Linked DNA regions of Elephas maximus indicus. Each later gene encodes a partner of the first gene's protein in a complex. Links are inferred from orthologs where the notes say so. Each region holds a gene or a part of one and is shown in the gene's direction. Other genes may lie near its edges.

Region 1 (15,453 bases):
GAAACTTGAGAAGTAAGGGTGTGGCCTTCCTTGAAGATTACATTTCAAAATAGGTGGTCCTGAAATCCTTGAGAAAACATCCTTGATTTACATTACAAAAAGAGAAAGCATTTACAGGTTATCTAAAGGGAATTCTGAAAGAACAGGAGAGAAGGGGAGCCTCTTCCCTTATTTTCAACGCAGAGAATTAAAACTTATTTTCAATTTGTATTTGTCCTTACAAGGACACATAGTACCCTGGTTTTTACAAGGGAAGAGAAACCTTCCACACAAAAGCTAGGTGTGTTCCCTGACTTCATTTTCTTTTGCTTGTTGCACAGATGCTAAAGATAACTCCACTCCAATCAAGTATAAAATATGTGAAAAATAAACACAAGTCTGAAAATACTTAGCTCCACTATCCTAGCACGCCACAAGATGGGGATGTGACTCCAAAAAAAAAAAAAATTGCTTTCTGTGCTATATCTGTTTGTGTGTTTTTTTCCTATTTCTATGTCTTTATTTACCCTTTCTTCTCCAGCTGTCTATTTTTTTCCCCTACTGTCATTCTTCCTTACCTGAAATGACTACTAGCCATTTTCACCAGATAGGAAAACAATAGGACACTAATAAGTAAATTATTATTTTAACGTAACAGAAAGGAGCCCCTGGGTCTTTGAAATGATTAAGCACTTGACTACTAGCCAAAAGGTTGGCAGTTTGAACTCTCCCAGAGGTGCCTTGAAGACAGGCTTGGCAATCTGTTTCCAAAAGACCACAGCCTTGAAAACCCTATGGAGCAGTTCTACTCTGCAAGCATGGGGTCACATGGGATTGCCATGGGTCACGGTGGACTAGACAGCAAGTAACAACAACAATGACATGATGGGATACTATGTAGCTATTTTAAATGACATTTACATATATCATTTACATATATAAAATCTGTAAAAATGTAGAAAATGTTAAAAAATTTTAATTACAAAATAGTATGTACATTATGCTTGCAAAGATAAAAGTGCAAAAACTAAGAGACATATATTGAAAAGTAATAAGCAAACTGAAGGATTTCTAGGACTGTGTGCAATTTTTTTCTCTCATTCAAAAATTGTTTATATTTATTACATCATCTTTTTAAAACATTAAAGTAAAAAGGCCCAAATGCTTGCGTAAATAAAAAGATTTATTTGTTTAGGTGTCAGGGTTGCAGATATATTTTCTTTTATAAAATCTCAATTTGATTTCATCAGGGAAATAATAAACATATCATATTTAAAAAGGAATGAGTACTGAAATAAAAAAATACATATCTAATAGATAATAGCATCAAAAAACATCAAGTACCTAGGCATAAGCCAATTAAAGACGTACAACACAACTATAAAACATGTTCTCAGAGAGAAAAGACCTAATAAATAGAGAGGCATACCAGGCTCACGGACTGGAAGACTAAGAATAGTTAAAATCTCAATTCTCTCCAAATTGATCCATTGATTCAATGCAATCCCAGCAGGATTTTTGGTGAAAATACAAAGGGACTAGAACAGCCTATACAATCCTGAACAAAGCTGGATGATTTAACAGTATCAGAAATCAAGACCTACTATAAAGCTATAGTAATTGAGAGACAGTTTGATGTTTGGCACAAAACCAAAAAGAAACAAACCCACTGCCGTCAAGTCGATTCCGACTCATAGTACAAGGAAAGACAAAATAGAACACAAAGAACAGAACAGAGAATCTACACATATATATATATATAAAAAACATATATAGTCACTCGATTTACAAAAAAAATGGCATTGCAATCAATGGGGAAAGGATGGTATTTTCAACATATGGTGTTGAAAAAAATTAACTTTGACTCTTACCTTCAAATAATAAAAAAATTAATTCAAAATGGATTGTAGGTCTAAATATGAAAGGTAAAACAATGAAGCTTCTAGAAAAAAAAGAATGAAATATTTTCATGACTTTGGGGTAGCAAAAATTTCTTAAACAGAACATAAAAAAACACTAACCATAAAAGGAAAGATTGATAAATTGGTCTTCATCTCAATTAAGACTTCTGTTCACAAAAGAAACCAGTAAGAGTGTGGAAAAAGTAAACTGCAGGCTGTGCATTTTTATTTCATAGATAATATTCATCAATTAATTTTTTTAATGGGTAAATGAGGAAATTTCTTCTAGAATGATGGAATATATATATATTCCCTATGCTTCCCACTAAGAATAGCTAAAATCCCTGGGCATTACATATAAAACAAATATAAGACTCTGAAACATGGAGAGAGGGAGGCAGACTGACTAGGGACCTCAGGACCAGAAGAATGATACGGTGGTGACTTTTGTGGGTTTTCTTTTTGTCTCGTATATCCCAGACTGGGTACTGGAAAAGATATCAACCTGGAAATGACAATGGGTGCAGATAAAACACTTAAAAAAACACCCAAGGAAAGCCTGCTCTCTAAAGCCAAAGGACAAAGAAGCCCAGCAAGGTAGAAAGCTTTTAGACAATAACTACTCCAGCCAAACACCACAGAAAAACACTGTGGTGCCATTCTCACCCCTGCCAGCAAAGATCAAGCAAGGAACCTGGACTTCCAGCTTGCCAGGCTATAATGACATGTTCCAACTCCTCAACTAGGATGTTATCAGAGAAGGCTGAGTAAAGATCAGGGACTTTATTCTCTGCTGAGTGGTAACACGTGCATCCCCCAACCCCTACCCTGTGGGGTCAGTGGAGAACACACGGGAAGCCTGGACTTCTACCCCACACGGCAATAACAAGGAGCATCTCCTCCACCCCAGCTGTTAATGGAGGCCAAGTAGGGAACCTGGACTTTAACCTCCACTTGGCAGTACTGAAGTAATGCCCCTCTTCTCCCACTGGGGTGGTGTCAGAGGGGGCCTTCTATAACAGAAAATTTAAATAAGATCCAGAGTCTCATAACACAGTATCCAAAATGTTCAGGTTTCAAGAAAATATCACTCCTCATACCAAGAACCCAAAAAACTCAACTTGAATAAGAAAAGAAAATCAAGAGATGCCAACACTGAGGTGACACAGATGTTAGAATTACCTGACTAGGATTTTACATAAAAACCACTACCCACTGCTACATAGTATCATAAAAATTCTTCAACAAGCAATTACAAACATGCTTGAAACAAACAAAAAAATAGAAGTCTCAGCAGAGAACGTTGTTGTTGTTAGTCGAGTAGGTTCTGACTCATAGCAACCCTATGTACCACAAACCAAAACGCTGCCCGGTCCTGTACCATGCTCACAATCGTTGTTATACTTGAGCCCATTGTTGCAGCCACTGTGTCAATCCATCTCGTTGAGGGTCTTCCTCTTTTCCACCGACCCTGTACTTTACCAAGCATGATATCCTTCTCCAGGGACTGATCCTTCCTGACACTGTGTAGAGAACAGAAGATATAAAGAAGAATCAAATGGAAATTTTAGAACTGAAAAACACTATAACACGATTCAACAACAGTATGGAGAGGACAGACGAAAGAATCAGTGAATTTAAAGACAGAACAATAGAAATTACCCAAATTTAACAACAGAGAAAGCATATTGGAAAAAAAAAGAAACAGAGCTTTAGGGATCTGTGGGACTACACAAAAGATCTAATATCTATGTCATCAGAATCCTGGAAGGAGAGGAGAAAAAGGATGAGGCTGAAAGAATACCCACAGAAAAAATGGCTGAAAACCTCCCAAATATGGCAAAAGACATGAACTTACAGATTCAAGAAGCTACACAAAACCTAAACAGGATAAACCCTAGAAATTCATGCCAAGACACATCATAACCAAACTTCTGAAAACTAAAGACAAAGAAAAAATCTTGAAAGCAATGATAGAACCAGATATATATTAAGAAAAAAAATTCAAATGATAGCAGATTTGTCATCAGAAACCATGGAGGCCAGAAGGAAATGGCACAATATTTTTCAAGTGCTGAAAGAACTGTCAACTCAGAATTATATATCCAGTAAAAAATATCCTTCAGGAATGAAGGGGAAATCAAGACATTTTCAGATGGAGGAAAATTTCATGAAGAGAATTTGTCACCAGCACACCTACCTTAAAAGAATGGCTAACGGAAGTTCTCTTAATAGAAGGGAAATGATAAAAGAAGGGATCTTGGAACATCAAGAAGGAAGAACAATGAAAAGAACAAAAATATGGGCAAACATAATAAACTTTTCTTCTCTGAATTTTTTGAAATTATGCTTGATGGTTGAAGCAAAAAAAAAATTATAACACTGTGGTTTTTTAATGTATATAGAGGAACTACTCAAGACAATTATAAATGGGGAGCGTAAAGGGATGTAAAGGGAGGTAAGATTTTTACACTTCATTTGAACTGGTAAAATGTCAATATCACTAGACTGTGATAAGTTATATATACATAATTTAATACCTACAGCAATGTCATGGATCGAACTATATGCCCCCCCCCCCCAAAACGTGTGTATCAATTTGGCTGGGGGATGATTCCCGGTATTGTGTGCTTTTCCAGTATGTTGTAAATCCTGCCTCTATGATGTTAATGTGTTAGTGAGGCAGGGCTCAATCTACAAAATTGGATTGTATCTTCAGGTAATCTCTTGAGATATAAAACAAAGAAGCAAGAAGAGAGACGGGGGACCTCATACCACCAAGAAAGCAGTGCCAGGAGCAGAGCATGTCATTTGGACCCAGGGTCCCTGCATGGAGAAGCTCCTACTCCAGGGGAAGACTGATGAGAAGGCCGACAGAGAGGGAAAGCCATCCCATGGAGGTGACATCCTGAATTTGGACTTTTTGCCTACTTTACTGTGAGGAAATAAATTTCTCTTTGTTAAACCCATCCACTTGTGGCATTTCTGTTATAGTAGCACAAGATAACTAAAACAAGCAACCACTAAAAAAACCATATGAAGAGATATACTCAAAAACACTAGATAAATCAAAATGGAATTCTAGAAATGAACAGATGAAAAGTTTATTTCTTTAAAACCCCATTTCATTGGGATTACTTTTTACTTACGTGGGCCTTTGCTTTTTCTCCTCTATGGGTTGTTATTAGTTTCCTTTGAGTTCACAGAACGCTTAGGGGTAAGTGGCCCTTAGTAGGAGTCCTACCATCAGTTAACATAGCAGTAGCAATCATTAATATCATAAAAAAGCAAACAGAATAGAAGCAACAGTACAAGACAGAGGAGCCCTGGTAGCCCAGTGGTTAAGAGCTCAGGTAACCAAAAGGGCAGCAGTTCGAATCCACCAGCTGCTCCTTGGAAACGCTATGGGGCTGCTCTACTCTGTCCTACAGGGTTGCTGAGTCAGAATCAACTGGTCAGCAACAGCTTTTGTTTTTGGTTTAAGATTGTATTCTTGGAATGACTATTTAACCCATAAATGTAAGCAAACACTAAAATAGAACTTATGGAAGGGTTTTAAGAATCTGGCATGGACCCTAAAAATAAAAAGTTAACTGAACTTGTATTTTAATTACTCTATTTTCCTTTGCTATTCAAATTCAAAACCACTCAGGCTCCAAGAATTACTTTAACAGTGGAAATAATTACCCATCATACCAAAAGTAAGTCTGGGAGATTAATCCTGTGAATTGCCACCTCAGTGCTTAATTCACTCCAATATAGTTCCTGGTTCTTGTAGCCAGAATTCTTTGAAGAATATGGCCTTTGCCTGACTAAATGTTCACCAGATCATTTCTCCTCAACCATCCCTCCCCACACTGATAGATGCTGTTTCTCTGCCTCCATTGAAGTTAGGTATAGCCATGCTAATGAGTTCTGGCCAATGGAAATGTGGGCCAAAGACTTGGCCAGAAAACCGTCTCATGCACCTTCCTCCATTCTTGCCCCTCATCTGCCAGCCAGATGCAGAGGATCCAATGGAGAGGCCCACGAGAAGGCCCTAGGGGGTTGTGCAGCCATTAGATGCAAGGAGTCTGGGTCGCTGACTTGGAAGCGTGTCACCTCACCACGAACACCCATGTGGAACTATGCACTTAAGATAAACAGTTATTGTGTCAAGCCACTGAAATTGTAAGGTGTTTTGTTACAGCAGTTATCCTACCTTGAAAATAGAGGGTATATATTTTTTCTCATGCTCCCTTTCTCTATTTTTCCATGACTGACCCTGCAAATATAGTCCATGGAACTTTTGAGATTTGAGAATATTTTGAAATCCAATACTGAGAGCTAAAACAATCACTCCTTGATACTTTTGCAAGATCATGGTCATGAAAACTTGTCATTTCACATTCTAACTGGAACCTAGGTAAATAGCAAACACATAGGTTTCAATTTCTACTGAGCTGCCAAACTGCATAATAGAGTTAAGAAGATACTGTGATGTGACAAAACAAAGTAGATATAAAGATTTTGGGATTACTTTACTACCATATATATTCCTAATAGTATTCAAAAAATGTTAAGTGTACATTTAGGTGTCTTTTTCTTTCTATGCCTCTACTGCTGTGAAACTTTCTAAGCCGGTACAGGTTCTTAACGTTTCTTGTGCCACAGACCCTTTGTAAGTCTGGTGAAGCTAACGGATCCCTTATCACAATCATATTTTAAATTGCATTTAAAAAAAAAAACAAAACATTGGATTTCAAAGAAAACCAACAGAATGTGAATATCCAAAACCAAACCTGTTGCTGTCCAGTCTATTCCGACTCATAGTAACCCTATAAGACGGAGTCTAAGTGCCACATAGGGTCTCCGAGGTTGTATAATCTTTACAGGAGCAGAATGCCACATCTTTCTCCTGCGGAGCAGCTGGTGGGTTCAGACTGACAACCTTTTGGTTGGCAGCTGAGCACTTAACCACTATGCCACCAGGGCTCCTTGAATTGAAATATAGTAATCAAAATATTTTTCAAATGTGTTATAGCCATATGTATCTCTTTACTGACACATTAATAACAAGATCTAGTGATGGGTCTAATAATTACTGCAATTTTGAAGTAGTTATGAGTGAAAAGGACATTTTGAGATAACAATTATGGAGACCCTGGTGGCACAGTGGTTAAGTGCTCCAGGCACTGGAAACCCTATGGGGCAGTTCTACCCTGTCCTATAGGGTCACTGTGAGTCAGAATTGACTCGATGGTGACAGGTTTGATTTTTATAACAATTATTGTGAAAAGAAAATATTTGTGATTTCTATTGGTGACAAAATCACTGCTGATACTACTTGGTTTGTGTCTGCACTCATAATCAAAAGAAATGTTAAATTTCAGTTAGAAGTTAATGAAACTAAAGGGGAAATTTTTTCCCCATCCAAGTCCGCAGACTCTGAATGCTATTAGGGATGCCTGGGCGAGAACTCCAGGACTAGAGGTCTCTCTAAAACACCAACGGTGCTTATGTCTCAGTGGGGGCGATATAGGTGGTTTAAAGTTTTCTTCCTTGTTGTACAGTTAAAAATCTCAAATTTTCAACAATACGCAAATATTACTTTTATAATTGTAAAAGACATTAAATGATATTCACAAAAAAAGTATTGGTTGGAAGATTCGGGGCACAGAAATAAAACTGGAAAAACAAAGCAAAGCAATATTTGAAGAAAAATTTAGGAAAAGAAAAGGAAAAAAATTCTGCATGAGAATGGAGCAACTGAACCTGACTGGCATCGGAGAGACTTAAAGCTAGTGAGAACTCTATGCCATTTATCCTTACGCCTCAGGGCTGAAGCATCATAACTATTTTAATAGGCCACACCGTGGCTCACGGGACACATCTGAGGTAAGAGGAGGGAACCCACAGGACTTATTACATACATTTAGTAATCCTATTTTCCATAAACTGCATCTCACACTCCTACTGTCTACCTCCCAGCAGAGGTCTGGGAGAGAGAAGTTGGACAGTGAAATCTAACTCCTTACAGCGTCTCATACAAGACCCTTCTGGATCTTTTACCTATCTGTCCCCAGGCACCTGTCTCCATGGCCTTTATATACCTCCAATAAGCTCACCTTGTTCCAGCCTCGAGGGCTTTGTCTTTGTTCGTCCTTCTTCCTGACAAAGTGCACCTGCAGAACTCCCTGAGACCAATGTTCGGTTCCTTCTCATTCTTCTAGCTCCAAAGTTTCCCTCTCAGAGAGACGTTCTCTTGAATGCCCTGTTTAAAGTCCCCGGCCCACCCGTCCCTGCCTGTGGTCATCACCTTATTGCCGACGGCTTTCTGAAATTATTTCCATATTATTTCTCCCACTAGAAAGGAAGCCACTTGAGGACAGGGACCTTGTCAATGTTATTCACCACTGTATCCTCAGCACCTAAAACTATCTAGCACACAATGAACCCAAACCAAGCCCAGTGCCGTCGAGTCGATTCCGACTCCTAGCGACCCTATAGAACAGAGCAGAACTGCCCCCAGAGTTTCCAAGGAGCGCCTGGCGGATTCGAAATGCCGACCCTTTGGTTAGCAGCGGTAGCACTTAACCACTACGCCACCAGGGTTTCCCTAGTACACAATAAAAAAGGTGTCATTAAATATGTAACGAATAAAACAATGATTGGAATGTATGAATACCTGTGGACTGTCTCCTTGGGGCACACTCTGGCTTAGAAATATAAATCAGTTTGTCGGGCGAAACCACGTTTGTTAGTAGCGGTTTTAATCTGTCTGCTGAGTCGCTGGCCCCCTACGACTCTTTGGAGAAGACAAAGAAGCCGAAAATAGCGGCCGAACACACCGGGGGCACGATGAACTCTTCACTTAACCTCCCGGACTCTCAGCGCCGAACTGCGGCTGCGCCGAACGGGGGGCGGGACGCTGACCCGGCTCTCCGGAAGTGGCCCGAGAGCCGGCGAGACGGCGCGGTGGGGCGGGCTAGAGTGGCGCGGCGCGGCGCGGCGCGGCCCCGCTGGGTGGGGGCGAGCCGGCAATGGAGGACGAGCGGAGCTTCTCGGACATCTGCGGCGGCCGCCTGGCCCTGCAGCGCCGCTACTATTCCCCCTCTTGCCGGGAGTTCTGCCTCAGCTGCCCTCGGCTCTCGCTGCGCTCCCTCACCGCTGTCACCTGCACCGTGTGGCTGGCGGCCTACGGACTCTTCACCCTCTGTGAGGTAATGGCCGGTCGGCCTCTCCCTGCCCTCGGAGTTGGGGCTCGGATTTGGAAGGCTCTTTGGGGTCTTTTTGGTGGAGCTCGAGCCTCTTGCCGGATCCTCCTACAGTTGTAGGGTCGGAGGACGAGGACTCGCTGGTTCTGGAGACGCCATTGTCCTGCTGGACGGATCTTTTCATTACGTTTAGTGAAGTTTGTGCTCTTGTACCATCTCCCTCTCGTGGATCCCTGTTCTGCTTTTGTGGATCCACCCAGCATACATCTTAGTCCTTGCACGACAGCCTAAAATGTAAACTTCCATGTGCGCTATGTAGTTATGCTCCTAGTAATTTAATTCCGAGAGTTCAGAGAACTGTTAGTGGATCACCCTCATCCATCGCTTCCACTCCTCACAGGTATCATTGTTAACAATACCTTATATAGTCTTTCAGAAACTCTCTGCCTCTACAAGTGTGTATGTGTATATATAGTATATGTGTGTGTGTCTAGATACACACAGACGTTAAAAGCTTGAAAGCAGCTTTTATAGTTCCTCCTAATTTCTTTTTCAAGGCAATCTATCTACCTCCCTGAATCCCTTCCCCAGTTTCACGTATTTTCTGAAGAACTATGAACTTTTCGAGCAATTTCCAGACTCAGTCCTATTTTTTCTGAGCCTCAGTTTTCGCATCTCTAAAATGGAATATTTGCCACACTAGCTTCACGGTATTGTTGTTGTGTGCCCTCCAGTCAATTCCAACTCTTAACGACCAAGTAGCACAGAGTACAGTTGCCCCTTAGGGTTTCCAAGGTTGTAGATCTTCACTGAAGCCGACAGCCACATCTTTCTCCTGTGGAGCAGCTGGTGGGTTCGAACTATGGACCTTTTGATTAACAGTGCCACCAGGACCTCTTCCACAGTATTGTATTGTGGGTCAAATGTCCTAACTTTGTGACAGCGCTCAGTTAAAAGGACTTATCCTAATTGCCTTTCCCAGGGTAAGTTCTAGTTTCATGTATAGTGTCCTGGATGGAATATATTCCAGGAGTGGTCTGGTCAAAGCTAAATACAGCAGAGCTATTTATTCCGTATTTTGGTAGTTTCTATTACTGCATCCATTAGCTTTTTTGCTACCACAGCATATTTCAGAGCATGGTAATTTATCTATGTTTATCTGTCTAGCTACCTAAATTTATAATACAGTTGAATTTTAATACTAGCCTGAGTTCTGCCCCTGTGGGCATGTGGGGAGCAGGGACAGATAACTTATTAACTGCCTATTGAGTGCCAGGTGTTTTACTGAATGCCTCATTTCAACCTCAGAAGAAAACCAAGGCTCAGAAAGAGTAATAACTTATCTATCCAAGGTCGCAAATCTACAAAGCTAGTAAATGGTAGACCTGGGATTCAAATCCAAGGCTGTTTGACTCTGAAGCCGTTTCTTTTTGTTTATACCATGTTGCCTCCTCCATGTGGAGGGCTGATCTTAGGCAATTTTAAAATAGGAGAATTTTGTTTTTATGCCATCTCCACTTCATGTGGCAAAGGCCATGGCATCAAACCTCACTATGAACTTCATAAAGAAAGGACCTCTTCTTCCTTAGCTGTCTTTTTAAGATGAACTAAGTTTTTCAGAAGCCCCTCTAGCTGACCTCCCCTGACATCTCATTGGCCAGACTTGTCATGTGCCCATTCCTAACCAATCATTGGCAAAAGGAGTGGGACCAGGTCATGATTCACTCCAAGTTCTACTAGGAAGAAGCGGCAGTTGAATAGGCAGTGAGTAGTATCTGCAGCACTGGTGCGAAGTACTTTACAATTGTTCAGTCTGTGATTTTGCACTGTATATTCTGCTGAGGGAGCAAGAGAGGAAAAGATCTGGGTCCCTAAATTGCACTTTTGGAAGAAAAATCTTTGACATTGGTGTGATGCCAGACATTTTGCTGTGGATTTCCCTCCACAGACCTGTCCATTTGGAAGCTATCTGGATCTATTCCACTATCCACTTGTATGCTGTTGTTAGTTGCCACCAAGTTGATTCTGACTCATGGTGACACCATGTGTGCGGAATAGAACTGTGGGGTTTTCAAGGCTGTGACCTCTCAGAAGCAGATTGACAGGCCTGCCTCCCAAGGCACCTCAGGATGGGTTCGAACTGCCAACCTTTCTGCTAGTAGTCAAGCACTTAACCATTTATACCACCCAAGGACTCCTATATACTTGCAGAACCCAGATAAAAGTGGTTTCCTCTTTTGTATGGTTTCCTCTTATGTATGGGTCTTGCATCTGTTCAACTCACAGTAGAACAAAGATTTTCGCCTGTCCTTTGTCCCTTTCTGCCCCCCCCCGCCCCGCCCCGCCCCGCCCGAGTTGATTTGTTAACACAGCAGCAGTGTGCGCAGGACCACTTGGTAATCTTACTGCCTGCCTCTGGCTCTCTCTTCAGAACAGCATGATCCTCTCTGCTGCCATCTTCATCACCCTCTTAGGCCTACTTGGTTACCTCCATTTTGTGAAGATTGATCAGGAGACTCTGTTAATCATTGATTCCCTGGGCATCCAGCTGACCTCATCCTACGCCTCAGGCAAAGAAAGCACCACCTTTATTGAGATGGGCAAGGTGAAGGATATTGTCATTAACGAGGCTATTTACATGGTAAGTGTATAATAAGTATTACAGGCCTTTCTGGAGGAAGTAGCAGGTGGGGTGTTCCTGAATCAAATACTAAAGTATTTGATGTCATAGAATTAAATTTGAGGAATCTTCTGCTCTAGTACTTGCAGTGTTTCTTTTTTTGGCTGATGTGTCTATAAACCATAAGAGTGAAACTTACGTTGAAAAGATAGGACTATTTTTAAAGAGAATAGGTTTTTATGAATAAGGAATCAGCACTTCAACTGTTTCTAGCCCAGCTTCAAAATCATCTCTTGTATTTTTCATTTAAAGAATGAGAATATACTTCTCCTTTTCCATTTCAAGGTTATCAGGTGTTCTACTACTTAGAGAAAAAGTTTTGAGCCTCCCCTTGAAGAAGAAGAAAAAGAAAACAAACCGAGTTTCACTTGGACTTCTGCTATTTGGTTTCTTTTCTTACAGCAGAAGGTGATTTACTACCTCTGCATTTTATTGAAGGATCCAGTGGAACCACATGGGATATCCCAAGTAGTACCTGTCTTCCAGGTGAGCACAGAACACTTAAGTTTCCTTTCTCCAGAGAAATTCTCTACCTCCTCTCGTACTCCTTGCATATGCACTGCTGTTTATGCTCAGTGGGAATGTAAACTTTTGTCAGAGTTTTTGAAGATACCTGGCAACTATTTCCAGTGAAAATTAGGATTTTAGTTATTTTAGAAGTTCCTCTCTGAAGCAAATATAGGCTTTCAAAAATAATATGAATTCATGCAAATTTTAGAGAAAAAATAATCAAATATGTAGCAATTTCTGCCCATAAATTACTATTCATCTACTTTGACTCTCAGTTTCCATTATACAGTTTCACCCAGATGTCATTATCTACACATATTAGGCACTATTTTGTGCTTTGTTTATTAAATAGTTATTTAATATGCATTTTCATTCATCTGCAAAGGCTGTTATACTTTAAATAATTATATAGTATTCCATCATGTTGAAATATTATAGTTTACTTTAGCCACTCTATTTCTAGCTTTTTAAATTGTGTCCAGATTACTTGTTTTGCTCTTAGGAAAAACCACTTGAACAAACATGATTGTAATAAATTATAGGTATTTATTTACGTATGCATTTAACCCTGCTCCACTGCTGTTCCTTTTTCACAAAAGATTTAAGGCAGCTAAGCTCAAAAAAAAATTCTTTGGCATTATAGTTTCAAATTATAGCTATTTTGTTAAAGTTTATGAGCAGTTCCATGGGTTTTTGTTCGTGTTTGAGATTGAGCTGCAGAGATTGGACCACTTTACCATGCTATTGGGAGTTTTTACTTGCCTTTTCTGCAGTCTTGGCTAGCAGTGAATTCAACTGGTTCTTTTCGTTTAGTATGTAGGTAAAGGCATTTTAAAATTATTAAATTTGTATCTTTTTAAATGACTGACTTCATATTTCCTTGTATCTCCTATCAGTATTTTGTTTTAAATTATCCATCTCTATTAGTCAAGTAGAATCTAGATATTAATTATGTAACAATTCTTTTTATATTTTAAGTAGCAAACTTTCATTAAATATTCTTTCCACATATATTTTTCCCATTCTGTGGCTTTTCTTTTAGTTTTGGTTGTGTTACATTTCATTTCACAAAATGTTTTACAATATTTGCATATTAAACTGCCCTTCTGGTCTCTGAGGACTCTATCTCAGCTTGTGACACTTCTCAGAGGGCCTGTCCTTGTTATTCTTCTTCTTCTCTTAGAGGTTGTGAAATTTAGACAGATTAAAAAATTGTCTTTTGAGCTCCTGCCTCACACAGTTCACGGGCTGGCTACGGGCATAGTTTTGGAGTCCTTCTAGCAAGGTACTGAGGTGTGAACTTCCTGCTGTCTGAGCTCATTTCTCTGCCATTTATGCCCCTTGATGTGGGTGAGAGATTGAGTTTACACGTGGATGCAACACCACTGAGCACTCTCTTACGTTCATCTTGACTCTGCGTTTCTCCCCTTTGGAATTCAGAGTGCCAAGCCCCGGCTGGACTGCTTGATTGAAGTGTACAGGAGCTGCCAGGAGATCCTGGCACACCAGAAAGCCACATCAACAAGCCCATGAGTCCCAGCATTCAAAAGGCCAGTATTGTCTTCCTTGGGAGATGACTCTTAAGCCATAGTGGCTGGTTCATTTTCTGTATTCTAAACTATCACGTGGACACAGTCCTAGGAACCAGTGTGGGTGCTGTGGATCTCAGAGCCATAGAGCAGGTGACTGGAAACCTAACTCGTTGTGTGATGTTGAGCAACGTATTTCTGTGTATTTTAGTGTTCCCCTTGTAAGATGTTGCCTACTTTACCAACTGAGGGAAGACTTTAAGAAACAGGATGTCAAAAATAATATCAGCAAAGAGCACTTTCATGAAATTCCTAAGCACATTCAGTTTGCTTTCTATTGAAATTTGTGGAGCAAGACAGTGGGAAACTGACATCAGGTTTCTTGAGAAAGGTATCATTTCCAACTGCAGAGCACCACTGTGTAAAAGTTAATAATAAAAAGGCCAGCCCTTCAGGTACTAGTTAGCGGGAGGAAATGTCCTACAAAAGACTACTCTGTCCACTTAGCTCCTGTGTTAGCAGGGTTAATTTATAACTCTCTTAATAAACAAATCTTCTTAAAACATACACAATAATTGCCTGGTTCACAGACAGCTGCTTTTTATTGACAAACACAATCATGGCATTTCAGTCATGGGTGTCAAGCACATGAATACTTTCCTGTTACTCATCATTAGCTACGGTTTCAAAAGCTTCTTTTGCCAAAAGGGATGAGACAAAAGGTCAGACAGATTTGACTTTTGTTTCCAGACACAGGACTTGCGTGTTAAAGAAGGATAAATAAGAGAACTGTAGAAGCCTTTGTTTATAAGGAAGCTTCTTCTGTATAAAATCAATAAACTGAGAGGATTCCTGAAGGATTGGGAGGGAGGGGAAGCGGGGGAATAGCGTGGCGTCAAGTTCAGTATGAAAAAACTCCTTGCCTACTCTTTATATGGAATCCTAATTTTTTTTTAAACATCCCTCCCTGGTAGATGATGTTATCCTCATTGGTCCTAGAGACACTCAAGATATTAAAAACCAGAGCTGCAATCTCTGCCATTTACACAGCTCTGGAGGGTTACCCAGGAACCTGTGGTATATGTGAGATGTGACTTGTTCGAGGTAGAAACGTCTCAGCTAGATCCCTAAATCCTGGTGGAAAAGGCAGTACAGAAGTGGGAGATGGCTGTAAAACTGCCCGTCTTCATAAAGTCAAGTTCATTTATAAGATGCAGACTGATGTGCTTTTTTCATCATGCTTGTCAGTTTAAAACGGGAAAGAAGGGGAAGTTTACAGCAGCTGAAGTGTTACATGAACTACTTCCAGCATGTTGTTTTTGCAGTGTGCAAGAAGCACACATTGTTAAAGGCTTGGTTTTTGGATGTTACTGCTAAATCCATCCAGTTTTCAGCACTTTACTGACAAATGGCAAGATTGCCCTAAAGCTATGAAATAAAATTCATTTTCTCAGGTGTTGGAATATCAGAGTATGAACTCTTTCGTTTTGGTTTTTTTTTTTTTCCTATTAGGGGAAGGTGGGAGACAACTACCATCTCCTTTGCTCTTGACTAGGTCTGGAGGGGTGATATTGGTGTCATCACAATGGCCAAAGGGGAAAGAAAACTTCAATTTCTTTCCCCTAGTGCTGTTAGGCTAGAACAGATATCACATATGT
Region 2 (15,000 bases), on another chromosome or scaffold:
GATCAGAAGAATTAGATGGTGCCCGGCTACCACAAATGACCACCCTCACAGGGAACACATTCCAGAGTCCCTGATGGACCAGGAGAAAAGTGAGGCATAGAACTCAAATTCTAGTAAAAAGACCAGACTTCATGATCTCACTGAGACTGGAGGGATCCCAGAAGACACGGCCCTCGGACTCTCTGTTAGCCCACAACTAAAATCATTCCCCATGTCAACTCTTCAAAGATTAGACTGGACTTTAAGACATAAAATGATACTTGTGAAGAGCTGCACTTCTGAGCTCAAGTAGATACATGAGACTAAGTAAGTAGCTCCTGTCCGGAAGTGAGAGTGAGATGAGAAGGCAGAAAAGGGGAGAAGCTGGTTGAATGGACACGGGAAATATAAGGTGGAAAGGAGGACTGTGCAGTCATATTATAGGAAGATCAACTAGGGTCACATAACAATGTGCGTATAAACTTTTGTATGACAAATTAACTTGAACTGTAAACTTTCACTTAAGCATAATAAAAAAAAATTTTTTTAAAGAATATATTAAAAAAAAAAAAGGGACCCAAATTCTCATAAGACCAGACTTAATGGTCTGACTGAGGCTAGAAGGACCCCAGTGGTCATGGCCCCCAGACCTGTTGGCCCAGGACAGGAACCATTCCTGAAGCCAACTCTTCAGACACGGATTGGACTGGACAATGGGTTGGAGAGGGATGCTGGTGAGGGGTGAGTTTCTTGGATCAGGTGGACACTTGAGACTATGTTGGCATCTCCTGCCTGGAGGGGAGATGAGAGGGTGGAGGGGCTTAGAAGCTGGCGAAATGGACACAAAAAGAGAGAATGGAGGGAAAGAGCAGGCTGTCTCATTAGGGGTAGAGTAATTGGTAGTGTGTAGCAAGGTTTATATAAAGTTTTTGTGTGAGAGATTGACTTAACAAGAAAAAGATAAATCACCCAATCTAAAAAATGGACAAAGGAACAGGCATTTCATCAAAGAGGATATTCAAATGGTCAATAAAAAGATGCTAAACATCATTAGCCGTTAAAACCCACTGCCATCAATTTCAACTCACAGCAACCCTGTTGGACAGAGTAGAACTGCTCCATAGGGCTTCTACGGAGCGGCTGGTGGATTCGAACTGCTGACCTTTTTGTTGCAGCCTGAGCTCTTAACTACTGTGCCACCAGGGCTCCCATTAGCCATTAGAAAGACACAAATTAAAACACGATGATACTACCTCACTCCCACTAGGATGGCTAAAAAAAAAAAAAGGAAAATAAATAACATTGACAAGAATGTGAAAAAACTGGAACCCTTATTGGGGCCCACTCAAAGGCAGCTAACAACATCAACAACAATCCATCGTTGGTGGAACTGCAAAATGGTACAGACACTGTAGAAAGCAGTTTGGTGGTTCCTCAAAAATTTAAACATAGACTACCATACCAAAAACCCAGTGCCCTCGAGTCGATTCCAACTCATAGCGACCCTATAGGACGGAGTAGAACTGCCCCAAAGAGTTTCCAAGGAGTGCCTGGCAGATTCAAACTGCCTACCCTTTGGTTAGCAGCCACAGCACTTAACCACTACGCCACCATATGACCCAGCAATTCCAATCCTAGGCATATACCCAAGTGACTTGAAAGCACTGATGCAAATAGATACATGTACACCAATGTTCACTGCTGAGCTGTTCACAAAAGCCAGAAGGTGGAAACACTTAAGTGTCCGTTAACAGATGAAAGGGTAAACAAAATGTGGTATAACCACACAGAGGAGTCCTACTCAGCCACACAGATAAATGAAGTCCTGATACATGCTCCAATGCAGATGAATCTTCAAAAGATTATGCTAAGTGAAGTCACTCAGAAAAGGACAAATATTGTATGATCTCGCTTATATGCGATAATAAGAACAGACAAATGTATAAAAACCAAAGTTTATTAATGGTTACCTGGGTGAGTCTCTGTTCAGGAAACAGTGAATTTGTTTTTGGTGATAGGAAATTTGGCAACGATTATGGGTGATGGCTACACAACATGATTAATGTAATTGATGGCACTAAATTGTACACTTCAAAAATATGGAAATAGAAAAAAAAAAAAATGGTACCCCAACTGGGAAGGAGGAAGCAAAACTATCCCTTTTCACAGATGACATGATCCTATATACAGAAATCCCCAAAGATTCCACAAGAAAGCTATTAGAGCTAATGAATTGAGCAAAGGGGCAGCACACAAGGACAACACACAATAATCAGTCAGGTTTCTACACATCAGTAATGAGGAAACTGAAAAAGAAATAAAGAAAGCAGTACCATTTACAATAGCACCTAGAAGAACAAATCAGCTAAGAATAAATTTAACCAGGAATATGGAAGTCTTATACACTAAAAACTACAAAACATTACTAAAAGAAATTAAAGACAACCTAAATAAGTGGAAGGACATTCCACATTCATGGGCTGGAAGGCTTAATTATAACAAATGTATAGACTACCTTATAGATGTCAATACTACCCAAAGCAATCTGGGCAAGGTACCCAAAATACCTAAAGCAATCTTCAAGAAGAAGAAAGTAGGAGGATTCACACTTCCCAATTTCAAAACAAACTACAAAGCTACAGTCATCAAAACAGCCTGGTACTGGTATAACAACAGACATATAGACCAATGGAAGAGTCCAGAAATAAACTCATACATTTGCATTCAACTGATTTTTGACAAGGGTGATAAGTCCGTTCAGTGAGGAAAAAAGAGTGCCTTTAATAAATGGTGCTGGGAAAACTGGATTTCCACATGCAGATGAATGAAGCAGGATCCATGCCTCACACCATATACAAAAATCAATTCAAAAAAGATCAAGGACCTAAACGTGAAAGCTAAAACCATAAAACTGTAAGAAGAAAACAGAGATATGACTACAGGACCTACTTTTTAACAATGAATTATCAGCTATGACACCAAAAGTACAAGTAACAAAGGATAAAATAAATAGGATCTCACAAAAATCAAATACTTTGTTCAAAGAACTTTATCAACAAAGTGAGGAGACAACCTACAGTTGGGAGAAAATTCTGGAGAACCATGTATCTGATAAGGGTCTAATACTCAAAAATATGTTAAAAAAAAAAAAAAAAACCTGTAACTTAACAAGAAAAAGACACCCCCGCCCCCCCCAAAAAAAGAACAGGGAAAGGATTTAAACAGACATTTCACCAAGGAGGATATATAACTGGCCAAAAAGCATGTGAAAAAATGCCCAACATGATTAGTCATTGGGGGGAAAAAAAAACCAAACCCATTGCCATTGAGTCGATTTCGCACATAGCCATTAAAAAACAAAAAAAACTATTCGTAATTTACAATTCTTTGCAAAGAAAACATTAGGCCCAGATGATTTTACAGTACAAGTTCCATCAAACTGTTAAGAAACAAACCACTCCAATTCAAACTCTCCCAGGCAACAGATAAAGACAAACTCACTCACCATAGAAGGCCAGTGTTAACTTTACTGCCAAAATCAGACATGACAGTTAACAAAGAGAAACGACAGGCAATTACATTCATGAACAGATGAAAAACCTTAAATAAAATATTAGGCAACTCAAACTAGTACTGCACAATCAAGATAATCCATTAAGACCAAGCTGGGTTATTTCAGGAACGCAGGAGTGAATTAAGAATTTTAAAAAATCTTAATTTAACATTTAACAGATTAAATGAGAAGAACCACAAGATGTTCTCCACAGGTGCAGAAAAGCATATGACAAAATTGCAAACAAAGTCCTTCCTATCTGAATGAAGGATATCTACAAAAGCTCACAGCACACGTCATTCGTAATGGGGAGACACTAACTTTAAGACCTGGAACAAGACATGTACGGCCATTACAATCACTTCTAATGAACACAGATCTAGAAGTGCTGCCAGCATATTAAGAAAGGGAAAATACACAAAAAGGAAAAGCCCAAACTGTCACTATTTGCAGACGATATAACTGTCTACATAGAAAAGCCAGAAGAATTCTAGAAAATACATTAGAAATAAGAGTTATCAAGTGGCTGGCTCAAGATCAAATTTTTAAAAATCCATTCAATTTCTATTTACAAACAAACAGAAAATAAAATCTAAAACAAAACAATTTTAACAAAAACTGTTAAATACATAGATATCAACATCACAAAAACGTGGAAGATCTGTGCAGAGAAGATCACAAAACCATATGAAAGGAAATTAAAAACCTAAAAGAAGACAAGAAGGCTCAAAGTCTTAAAATCTCAATTCTCTCCCAAACTAATTCAAATTAAACCTCAAACAGTTTTTCATGTCACCTGACAAGCTGATTTTGAGGTTTTACAGAACAAAAGTTCAAGAACAGCTGAAACTCAAATCCCTCCCTATATCAAGATTTCTTATAAAGCTAAAAACATTAATAAGGATTAAGCCAGTGTGGTATCAGCATGTTGCAGTTAGGTACCATCAAGTCAATTTTAACTCACCATGACCCCATGTGACAGAGTAGAACTGCCCCAGAGGTTTTTCTAGGCTTTAATCTTTATGGGAACAGATCACCAGGTGTTTCTTCCACAGAGCTGCTGGGTAGGTTCGAATTGCCAACCATTCAATTAACAAACACCTAAGCACATTAACTGTCTGCACCACCTAGCAATTTCTTTTGGCTCATAAACTCCCCCCAAAAGCTTTTAAAAATTACAAACCCCTTCACACATCAAGACGACATTTAAAAGATTTCAGTATAAGTTTAAGTAACTGTAAAGGATGAATTTCTGAAGTATCATGGTGACATTTTCAAATAAAACTGATACATCAGTCTTCCAACTGTATGTCATTATAATTATTAATATACAGCTGATCATAACTATATATGTTGATAATTATAAAAAGTGAAATCTTATTGAAAAAGCATCTCTTGAGACAATGGGGTAGATGCCTGGACTGGAACAATGCCCTGGTAACATTCCATGTGGGGGAGTGGAAGGCTACTGTGAAAGGGAAGATAAGAAAGGAGAACTAGCAGGTGACCTGTACCATAAGCCTCAGGCATTACCAATTTTAGAAAAGAACCCCCAAAAACCGGTTGCCATCAAGTCGATTTCAACTCATTGCGACCCTACAGGGCAGAGGAGAACTGTCCCATAGGGTTTTCAAGGAGTGCCTGGCGGATTCGAACTGCTGACCTTTTGGCTAGCAGCCGAGCTCTTAACAACTGTGCCGCCAGGGCTCCTAGAAAAGAATACATACAAAAATTAAGGATCTAGAAATTGATTCATTAACACCATTTGTACCCAAGCACCCCTTGGAAAAATCTTCCTAACTCCCCTGGGGGTTATGAACCCCAGTGTGAAAACTTAAGAGAAATTCTTGTACCTGTGTACCAGAAAATACACACAAGAATCTTCATTAACAGTACGTTTTAGAAACAATGAAAATGTCTATCAACAAGAGAATGCATAACCGTGTTAGATTCACGCATGGAATATTATACAGCAGTAAAAATTTATGGACTTACATCTATATTCAAGAATATCATAATGGTGAATAAGTCCTAGAAAACTACATCTGGTAGGATTCCTTTTTTTTTTCCAACTCAAAAACAATAGAAACTATACATTGTCAAGAGATATATATATATATCTGATAAAATTATTTTTGAAAAGCCAAGTGATGACATGAAATTCAGGATAATAGTCACCTCTGGAGATGAGTACATGCAATACTGGTAATTTTAATTTTTCGACTGAGTGGTAGACTCATTTTTTACTGCTTTGCGTAGTTATATATATCATGTATGTATCAAACATTACACTGAAATAACCGAAAAGATTAAGATAAACCATTCGTTATATTAATTTTTTAAATTAAATCTCCTCACTGGACACTAAAAAGGTACATATACCACAGAAATTACTGTCTTTACATCAACCATAGGAACTGATACACGCTAGGAAGACGATAAACGTTCATTAGAATTAATCTTATGAGGACCAAATGAGATAAAAACTGAGCCAGTTAGCTGTGAGAGAAGAACCAGTAGACGGAGACACGAGCAGAAGCCAACGTGGCTCCAAACAACAAGCTGAAGTTACAGAGAAGGCAAAAAACGTGAAAGTCTGAGAGCATGAAGTGTTAGCAAGAAACAGGTGTTCTCACTCAAAACAAGGGAGTGTGAAAATTGGTAAATCGCTTGGAGAGCATCTGTGATATCCATGTATCTTACTATCAAAGCAGATCTACTACTAGATATATTTCCTAGAGAAGCTTTCAAATGCGTGTACAAGCAGACAGGTAGGTAAAAAGATGTTTATTGCAAGAGTGCTTTTAAGAGCAAAAAGCTGGGAACAACTTCAAAGTCCATCCATAGATAAATGGATAAATGAACTATGGTATATTCATACAATGGAACTCTATACCGGTAATTTAAATGAATGAGCCAGAAACAACAAAATCATCTGATTTATTCATATATAAATCTCAAAATGTGATACAAAGTAAAAATAGCAAGTTGCAAAAAAAAAGTACATGTAGTTTAATACCATTATGTAATGTTTAAAAACACACACCAGTATATATTGGTTATGGATTCACTCTGATCGAAGTATAAGATATGCAAGGGAATGACAAACACAAACCTGAACACAGTGGCTTTTGTCTAGGAAAGGAGGGGGAAAAACGAGAAGCACCCCCATATGGGCAACATTTCATTTAAAAAAAAAAACAAAGGATCTCAAGTAAATTTGGCAAAATATTCCAATTAAAAAAAAATTTTTTTAAGCACCTGTAAAATCTGAATTATGGATTGGGTAGACTCCCCCCTCCCCGTAATTTATGCGTCAAATAGTCCAGAAATTAAAAAGAAAACTTTGCAAGAGTAAGAAAATGGAGCAGATGGCGAGAGAAAAACACCAAATGCAGCTCTTGAGCGCAGAGCACACAGTCCTTGAGCAAGAGTAGTAGTCAAGTTCCTGATGCATTTGACTTTTCTTGGCCCTGTCTGTGTACTCTAATAATGAAGTCCATTTTCCTTAAGATAAAATGCAAATTCCTTGCAATCAAAAATGTCCTAACCAGAGCCGAGTAATTATGAGAAAACTGCGCCCAAAGGAGGAGTAAGATTTATCAGATTTCTACTTTATTTCCCTCTCCTGCACGCTGCGCAGAAGCAAAAGAGATGATTTACGTGAAAGCCATAGAACCCTAACTAAACCGTTAGCTGTTACCAAAAACGCTCAGGGTCGGCTACAAGGTATTGCCCGTTTGGCGGATGCATGGATTCTGGGGGAGGTTTGCAATTTGAAGGACTGTGACTAGGGTTCCTCTGGAAAACGCCCGCCGCAATGGTACCAGTCCAAATTCGCCTATGCCTTGCTCGGTTGTGGTCCCCCAATTCTATTCCCGGGAAAGGCTGGCTCCACAGGCCACACCTAACTTTGCAAATACCACGGAGCAGCTGGCCCGAACCGCTCCCGTCCTCCCAGTTAGTCTTTGGGGGTGTGGGGGGAGAGACTTCTCCTGGTCCGTTCCTTGGGGAGGGGCGAGCGCCGCACTCCGCTGCCAGTTCTCACAAAAACAGGTGGCAGGTACGTCGGAGCACACAGATGGTGGGCTTGCACCAACGTTCCCGAACATTCGTCACGGAAAACTCGCACTCGCGCGGGAACACACTAGGGTTGAGATCGCTCCAAGAGGGGGTCGCGTCGCACAAGGCGCGGGGACGCGCACCCCCAGAAAAGAGCAATGACGCAAAGGGGGAGCCACCCACGGAAGCCGCGAAAAGAAAGGGTGTCCACAAAGGGGGTCCGGGGGCAGATCCGGGGGCGTGCCCGAGAGCGGGCTGGGGCGGCCACCGCCCCAAACTGGTATCGGAGACGAGGCGCGCGCGGACAGCAGAGGAATGTGCACGCAAAAGGAACGCTCCCACCCTCGCGCAGACCCCCAGCGGGGCACCCGCTTGCAGAAGGGGGACACCAGGCAAAGGAGACACACCCCGTGACCGTTCCCTGGCCCACGCAGACACACAGCGGGCACCACAGCGAGGGACACCCCGCAACGAGCACACGCTCCTGCAAGGGCTGTGAAGGATAAGGCCCCCTTTCCCCGGGAGTCTCGGCTGCAGCGGGACCACGTGACCTGCCGCGCGCCAAGGGTGCACTTACCGGGGCCCGCTGTCAGCGAGCCTCGGACGCTGGTAATTCCCTCAGCCATTACCGCCGCCGCCGCAGCGACCAGACCTCCACGTCAGCCGGGCGCGAGCGGGGGCGTGGGCGGGAGGCAGATTTGTCACGTGGAAAGGGAACACACATGCGCAGTGGGGCCAGCCCGCCCCCTCCCTCCGCGGCCGCGAGCTGAGCGCCCTAGCCTGCCCCTGCGCATGCGTCCACCCTCCGCGCGCTCCCTGCGAGGGTCGCGGTGTACGCGCGTGCGTGGGCGGGAGTGCGCCGTCGCTCCTTTCCTTTCTCTCAATTTTCTCTCTCTCGCACCCCGCCGTTCCGTAGTCGGCGCTTGCGCAGAAGACTCGGCGCGGAGGTGGCCGAGTTGGCGGGAGGGGCCCGGGTGAGCGCATGAAGGGCTGCTGGCCGAGGGCATACCCCACCCAGCTTTTGAGTGAGGCCTCGAATGAGAAACAAGCCCCAACAGAGAGCAGGGCCCAGGCCTGGGAGGCCGCGCGCGTCCAGGTCGGCGCCTCGCGGACCCCACTCTGCTCTTCCCTCCCCTTCCCCTGCGCAGGCGAAGCTCGCGGGGCTGGAGCGGCGTAGGTGCCTCCGCTGCCGTGCCCCCCGCAGCAGGTGTGCGCGCGTGCACTCGGGCGTGGGCTGGGGTGTGCGCAGGATGGCCGTTTGCAGTGGTTTCCGCTGAAATAAACCCCTGCGGGGGCTCTGCCCAAAGCAAAGTCAGGAGGGGCAAAGGGGTGTAAATCGCTGACGGCTTGTCTTCTTTTCCACAGATTGTCTAAAGCCACAGGGACAAAATGGTGGAAAATTCACCGTCACCATTGCCAGAAAGAGCGATTTATGGCTTTGTGCTTTTTTTAAGCTCCCAATTTGGCTTCAGTAAGTATATTCTTGAAGAGTGACTAGGAACCCTTTCTGGATGTCGAGGACAAGGAAACGTTGCGGTTTTTTTTAGAATGTATACACAGGAGCTGTGATTCTTTACAGCAATGTTTCTTTTTAAGGGAATTCGTTGTTCAAGATGTTTTATATGTAAGACGCTGGCCCAAGAGCTTTAATTTTAACACATATATTTATATAGCACCAGACATGATGGCAAAGTGTGTAAAATCTGGTTCTTGCCCTTAAGGAGGTCAGGGTCTTCTGGACCAGATGTTCACTGTGGTAAGTATCATGGAAGAACAGTGGACGGACGTTGAAATCAAACTGGGAGATCAGATTGGCTTTCTCTCAGAGACTTTATTCACAACACTTATTACAGAAGAATAATTAAGAGAGAAGGAAATGTGAAGGGCTTGGAGGAAGGCACAACCAGGTTGAAAAGTGAGTAGTTTGGTGTGGCTCCAGTGCAGCATGCAGGAACTGGAGAGTGATGGCAATTAAGCTAGAGAACTCCCATTGAAAGATAGACCCTTTAATCCGCAGAATGTCCCATTTTACAGATAAGGAAACTGACTCTCACTGAGACACTGACATACCCCAAACCCAAGACCCACTGCTGTCGAGTCGATTCTGACTCATAGCGACTCTATAGGACAGAGTAGAACTGCCCCATAGGGTTTCCAGGGAGCGCCTGGTGGATTTGAGCTGTCAGCCTTTCGGTTAGCAGCTATAGCTCTTAACCACTATGCCGCCAGGGTTTCCATAATATGCCCAGTCACACCAAAAAACCAAACCCATTGCCATTGAGCGGATTCTAACCCGTAGAGATCCTATAGGACAGAGTAGAACTGTCCCCATAGGGTTTCCAAGGCTATAGATCTTTACAGAAGCAGACTGCTACATCTTTCTTACTTGTAGCTGCTGGTGGATTCGAACCACCAGCCCTTGAGTTGGCAGCCAAGCACTTAACCACTGTGCCACCAGGGCTCCTTGCCCAGTCACACAGTAGGCCCCATATTGCCCCAAAAGGATTTTGGAATTATGAGAGAAACAAAAGGGAGAAAATTGGGTACCTTAATCCTACTTGCTGGAACTTCCTGAAAGCTGAGGGATGGGGGGAGGGGTGTGTGCGGAGGAATCTTAACTGAAAAAAACCCCACTTTGCACCATCAGTATAGCTTGGAGATGGCCTAATGGCCAAGCTGTTGACTAAGGGAGTTTGTGGAGTGAAGAAGTTACGTCATTGTTAGTTGCTGGCGAGTGAGCCCCAGACTCACGGCGACCCCACGCACAATGGAATGAAACACTGCCTGATCCTGGGCCATCCCATGATTGATTGTGGATCAGGCCATTGTGATCAACAGGGTTTTCATTATAACTAAATTCAAATCCTTACTCCTCCACAGATTAGCTGTGTGATCTAGGGCCACTTAACCTCTGTCTTAGCCTTCAGGTTCCTTATCTGTAGAAGTGGGTGGGAAGTGCTGATGATAATGTTTGTTGGATCTGTGTGTTGATCGATGTTTGTTGATCTGGCAGGAGCCAGATCATTCAAATCCTTGTGAGTCCTGATACGCACAAACGGTCCTGTGAGGTAGATACTGTTGTTATGGTCCTCACCTTCCAGGTGACGATACTGAAGCACACAGGTGGGTTTAAGTAACTTAACCAAGGTCACACAGCTAGCTGGAATTTGAACCTAGATACACTGTTTAAGAATATTTGCTCTAAAACATTTCATTCTGCTGTCTCTTAGGGCTGTTTTGAGGATTAATCAGGGTAATTTATATAAAGCACTTACAGCAATGCTTGGGATACAACAGGTATTCAATAAATATTAGCCACTGCTATTATTATTAACATCGTTTTGTAATCCTAGTGTTTAATAGAGTACTTGAAGGATTAGAAACTATGCAAATAAATAAAAGCAATGGCTTTAATACTTAAATTCAATAGTACCTACAATCAAAAATTAATTTAGTAAATATTTATTGAGTGCTTAGTATATGCCAGACACTATTATAAGTCAGGGAGGAGCAAAACAAGCAGATATTTCCTAGTCTCATACAGTTTTCATTCTAGTAGAGGCACATAGGCAATGAACAAATTAAGTGAAACGTGCACAATGTCAGATGATAGCATGCCCTTTGGGGAGAAATTAAGGACGAAGGATAAGGAGTGGAAGAACTTTGTGATTTTGAATAGAGCAGTTGGGATGTACCTGAGAGATTAGGTTTAAGCAAAGACATGAAAAGTGAGGGAGCTAGGTGGGTGGTTCTCTGGAGAAAGAGCACCCCAGAGAGAGAACAGCCAGTGCCGACGCCCAGAGGGAGACACATTCCTGTGAGTTCAAGGAATAACAGGAAGGTTGAAGCCTGAAAAAGTGAGGTCAGAAGCCAGCTCTGGGCAGTTACGATAAAACTAGGTGCTGGGTACAGGAGGATTACATGATTCTCTCTCTACATTGAAATGTTTACTAATTTGAAAACAACCAAGGTAATTGCAGATTGTGATGAAGGCTTTGAAGTAAATAGAGGGAAATGATAGTAATGTGGGGGGCGGGGCAGCAGATGGAGGGACTAATGGTCGGGGAGAGCCCCTGCTGCCTGAAAGAGAAGGGACCAGGCATTGAAAAGAGCCAAGGGAAGAGCAGACAGGTCCAGGCAGATGGCACTTCAAGCACAGTAGCCCTGAGGAGGAAAGGTGTGAAGAACAGAAAGGAGACCACTGTGGCTGGAGCATAGTGCACAAGGCTTAGAAAGGACATTGGAGAGGTGGGCAGGAACCAGATCATTCAAGTCCTTGTAGGCCTTGGTAAAGAGCTTGGATTTTCAACGGCAGTGGGTAAGGGCGTTGAAGGGCTTGAACAGTTGAGGAATATGGTTTACTTAATATTTTTGGAAGATCATTCAACGCTGTATGGAGAATAACTTCTCAGATACTCTCTTTGGTGTTAAAATTACGAGTCACCCAATCCGAAAACCTGGCTGTCATTCCCCATTTGTCCTTTTTCTTCTGCCCATAACTCATTCATTCGCTCCTGCCACGGAATCTGCTGTAGGCCTCTTACTGTCTGATTTTATTACCACCAAATACGTCCTCCAGAGAGCCACCAGAGCAACCCACTCAGAGGCAAATCTGAACTTCTCTGCTTAAAAAACCTCTTTGGTGGGTGTGTGGATGGTTCTCTCTCTCTCTGTAGCCCACTTTTGCACTTTTATATCTCAGTACTCACAGCAGCTCTGAACTGCTCGTGTTGTCGTTAGGTGCCTTCAAGTTGGTTCTGACTCATAGCTACCTGTGTATGACTGTTTATGGTTTCCCCCAAATACGTGACATTCTTTTGTCACCTCCGTATTTTTCTTAATGGTCTTGCTTCTGGGAACGTTCTTTCCATCTTCATTATCTCTTTGCATAGCGACCTCCCTTACGGGAGCTTACCTCCACGCATCCTTTGAGTCAGCTCAGGCATCATCTTCAGGAAGCCTTCCCTGATCTCCCCAATTTGTGTTAGGTCACTTTTTTCTCTCTTCTAATGATACCTTACGTAGGTTTGTCACTGTACTTGTCTATGATTACCTGGGGAGTAGCGTAGTATGAACAGACTGTTTGGGTTCACACTGCAGCTTTGTAGCTCTTACTGTGAGACTTCGAGCAAGTTACTTGATTCCCCAAGCTTCAGTGGTCTTCATCTGTGAATTAGGGCTAATAATAGCTCCCACCTCAAAAGGGTTTTGAGAGGCTTAAGTAAGATACTACATGTGAAGTTCCTTCCACTACACTTGGCTTGTTTCTGTCTCCCACCCTAGTTTGTGAGTTCCCTGAGAATAAGGACTGTTTTAGTTTCCTCTATAACGTTTTTTAAAAAAAAAAAAAATTTTTTTTTATTGCGTTGGCCTTACATAGTGTCTGGCACATAGTAGTAGATGTTCAAGAAATGATCATTCATTTCATTAATTAAACTAATAAATCACTTCTGCTTATGGATTTATAGTGTTTCATTATGATTGTGTTGCATTAACTTTAAGAGCTATGTTAATGCTTCAAGCCAGTTCCTGGCCACCCTTTCCCTTGGCCTCTACCATCTAAAAAAAAAAAAAAAAAAAAAGGCACCAAATCTCTCTTCAGATCCCTCATGTTCTCTCTCTGTATCATGGCAGGGAACATCATTTCATCTATTTTCCCTTCCTGTCATCTGCAGGCTCCCTAGCCATATACGTTTTTAATCTGGCTTACCTCCTACTCATCCTTCACACCTTAATTTCCACCTGCGCCTGTCTGGGCTAAGGTTCTTCTCTTGTGCTCCCGTGTCGTCTTTTATCACATAGTCATCAGCAGTTATCATAGTGTAGTGACAATATCAATTTCCTCAACTCTGTTCTCCACTAGATTTTAAGCTCAGGGAGGGCAGGGGTTGTCTCTTTCAAGTTCATTATTGTATCTCAAGGTCCTGACGTAGTTTTATACTACATATTTGTCAAGAAAAAAACAATCAACACTTCATCATCGTTGATTTAAGTAATTGGAAATCTGTCTTTGCCGCTTACCTTGGGCAGACGATTTAACCTTTCTAACCTTTTCATTTCCTCATCTGTAAAAATGGTATACATACGTCAGTTTGAAGATTAAAGGAAATAATGCATGTAAAGTGCTTATAACTGTGCTTAGCCCGAAGTGAGTGCTCAGATGGCATCTGTTACTACACAGGGACAACAGCAAAAAACCAAACCAAACCCACTGCCGTTGAGTTGATTCCAACACATGGCGACTCTGTAGGACAGAGTAGAACTGCCCCTGTAGGGTTTCCAAAGCTGTAATCTTTACTGAAGTAGACTGCTACATTGTCTTGGTCATCTTGTGCTGCTCTAACAGAAATACCACAAATGGATGGCTTTAACAAAGAGAAGTTTATTCTCTCACAGTCCAATAGGCTAGAAGTCTGAATTCAGGCGCTAGCTCTGGGGCAAGTCTTTCTATGTCAGCTCTGGAGGAAGGTCCTTGTCATCAGTCTTCCCTTGGTCTGGGAGCATCTCAGCGCAGGAATCTCAGGTCTAAAGGAAGCACCCTGCTCCCGGCACTGCTTTCTTGGTGGTATAAGGTTCCCCTGTCTCTCTGCTTGCTTCTCTGTTTTATATCTCGGAAGAGATTGGCTTAAGACACTACCTAATCTTGTAGACCTTACTAGTATAACTGCCACTAATCCATGTTATTACATCATAGTGACAGGATTTGCAACATATAGAAAAATCAAATAAAATGGTGGGCAATCACACAATACTGAGAATCATGGCCCAGCTAAACTGACAGGTATTTTGGGGGGACACAATTCAATCCATGACATACAGCTTTCTCCCAGCAGAGCCACTGGTGGGTTCGAACCACTGACCTTTCGGTTAGCAGCCGAGCACTTTAATCACTGCGCCACCAGGGCTCCTTCAAAAACAGCAAAGGGTACCACAAAGCATTGGCATTAAGGGAAATGAGATTGTATCCAGGGAGATAAGGTAGAAACTCAGATTGCAGTGTATTGGACCAAGGGTAGGTAAATTGACCTTTAAGTAGCTAAATGTCATAATTATTCCCATCTCTCTCGGGTGGGGGTGGGGGTGAACTGTTGAACACTTGCTATGCATAAAGCAAACTGTTAGGTTTATAGGAATTACAGCAATTGCTAAGACATGACTTGTGCCTTTAACTTGCCTAAAATGTAGTGTGAGAGTTAATGTATATTTTTGAATAATAACTGATACAAGGTAATTGTGGTTTTATAAGGATGGTACAAATAAAGAGCTAGAAAAACTGAAAGGAGGGAAAAATCATTTCTGAATAAATTAGAGAAAGGTTCAGAGGAGCTTTTTATCTAAACCTTGATGGACTGGTTGCATGCCTTACTGATGTTTCTCTCACTGTTTTTTTTTTTTCCTCTTCTCTG

Evidence for each region.
Region 2: PIGH (region 1) and PIGP share a complex: the UniProt entries of both Homo sapiens proteins name them as parts of the glycosylphosphatidylinositol-N-acetylglucosaminyltransferase (GPI-GnT) complex. The link is inferred for Elephas maximus indicus from reciprocal best matches to the Homo sapiens genes PIGH and PIGP.

What each region holds. Positions count from the first base shown.
Region 1 is NC_064828.1:79,951,081-79,966,533, reverse strand, and holds PIGH (phosphatidylinositol N-acetylglucosaminyltransferase subunit H), read left to right. Parts: upstream 1-8,821; 5' UTR 8,822-8,902; coding exon 8,903-9,082; intron 9,083-11,507; coding exon 11,508-11,717; intron 11,718-12,158; coding exon 12,159-12,389; 3' UTR 12,390-12,590; downstream 12,591-15,453. UniProt on the Homo sapiens protein: Part of the glycosylphosphatidylinositol-N-acetylglucosaminyltransferase (GPI-GnT) complex that catalyzes the transfer of N-acetylglucosamine from UDP-N-acetylglucosamine to phosphatidylinositol and participates in the first step of GPI biosynthesis.
Region 2 is NC_064820.1:218,684,258-218,699,257, reverse strand, and holds the start of PIGP (phosphatidylinositol N-acetylglucosaminyltransferase subunit P), read left to right. Parts: upstream 1-8,398; 5' UTR 8,399-8,568; intron 8,569-8,574; exon of another isoform or gene 8,575-8,690; intron 8,691-8,699; exon of another isoform or gene 8,700-8,801; intron 8,802-8,959; 5' UTR 8,960-8,983; coding exon 8,984-9,065; intron 9,066-15,000. Other genes in the region: E3 ubiquitin-protein ligase TTC3, read right to left, coding at 8,172-8,220. UniProt on the Homo sapiens protein: Part of the glycosylphosphatidylinositol-N-acetylglucosaminyltransferase (GPI-GnT) complex that catalyzes the transfer of N-acetylglucosamine from UDP-N-acetylglucosamine to phosphatidylinositol and participates in the first step of GPI biosynthesis.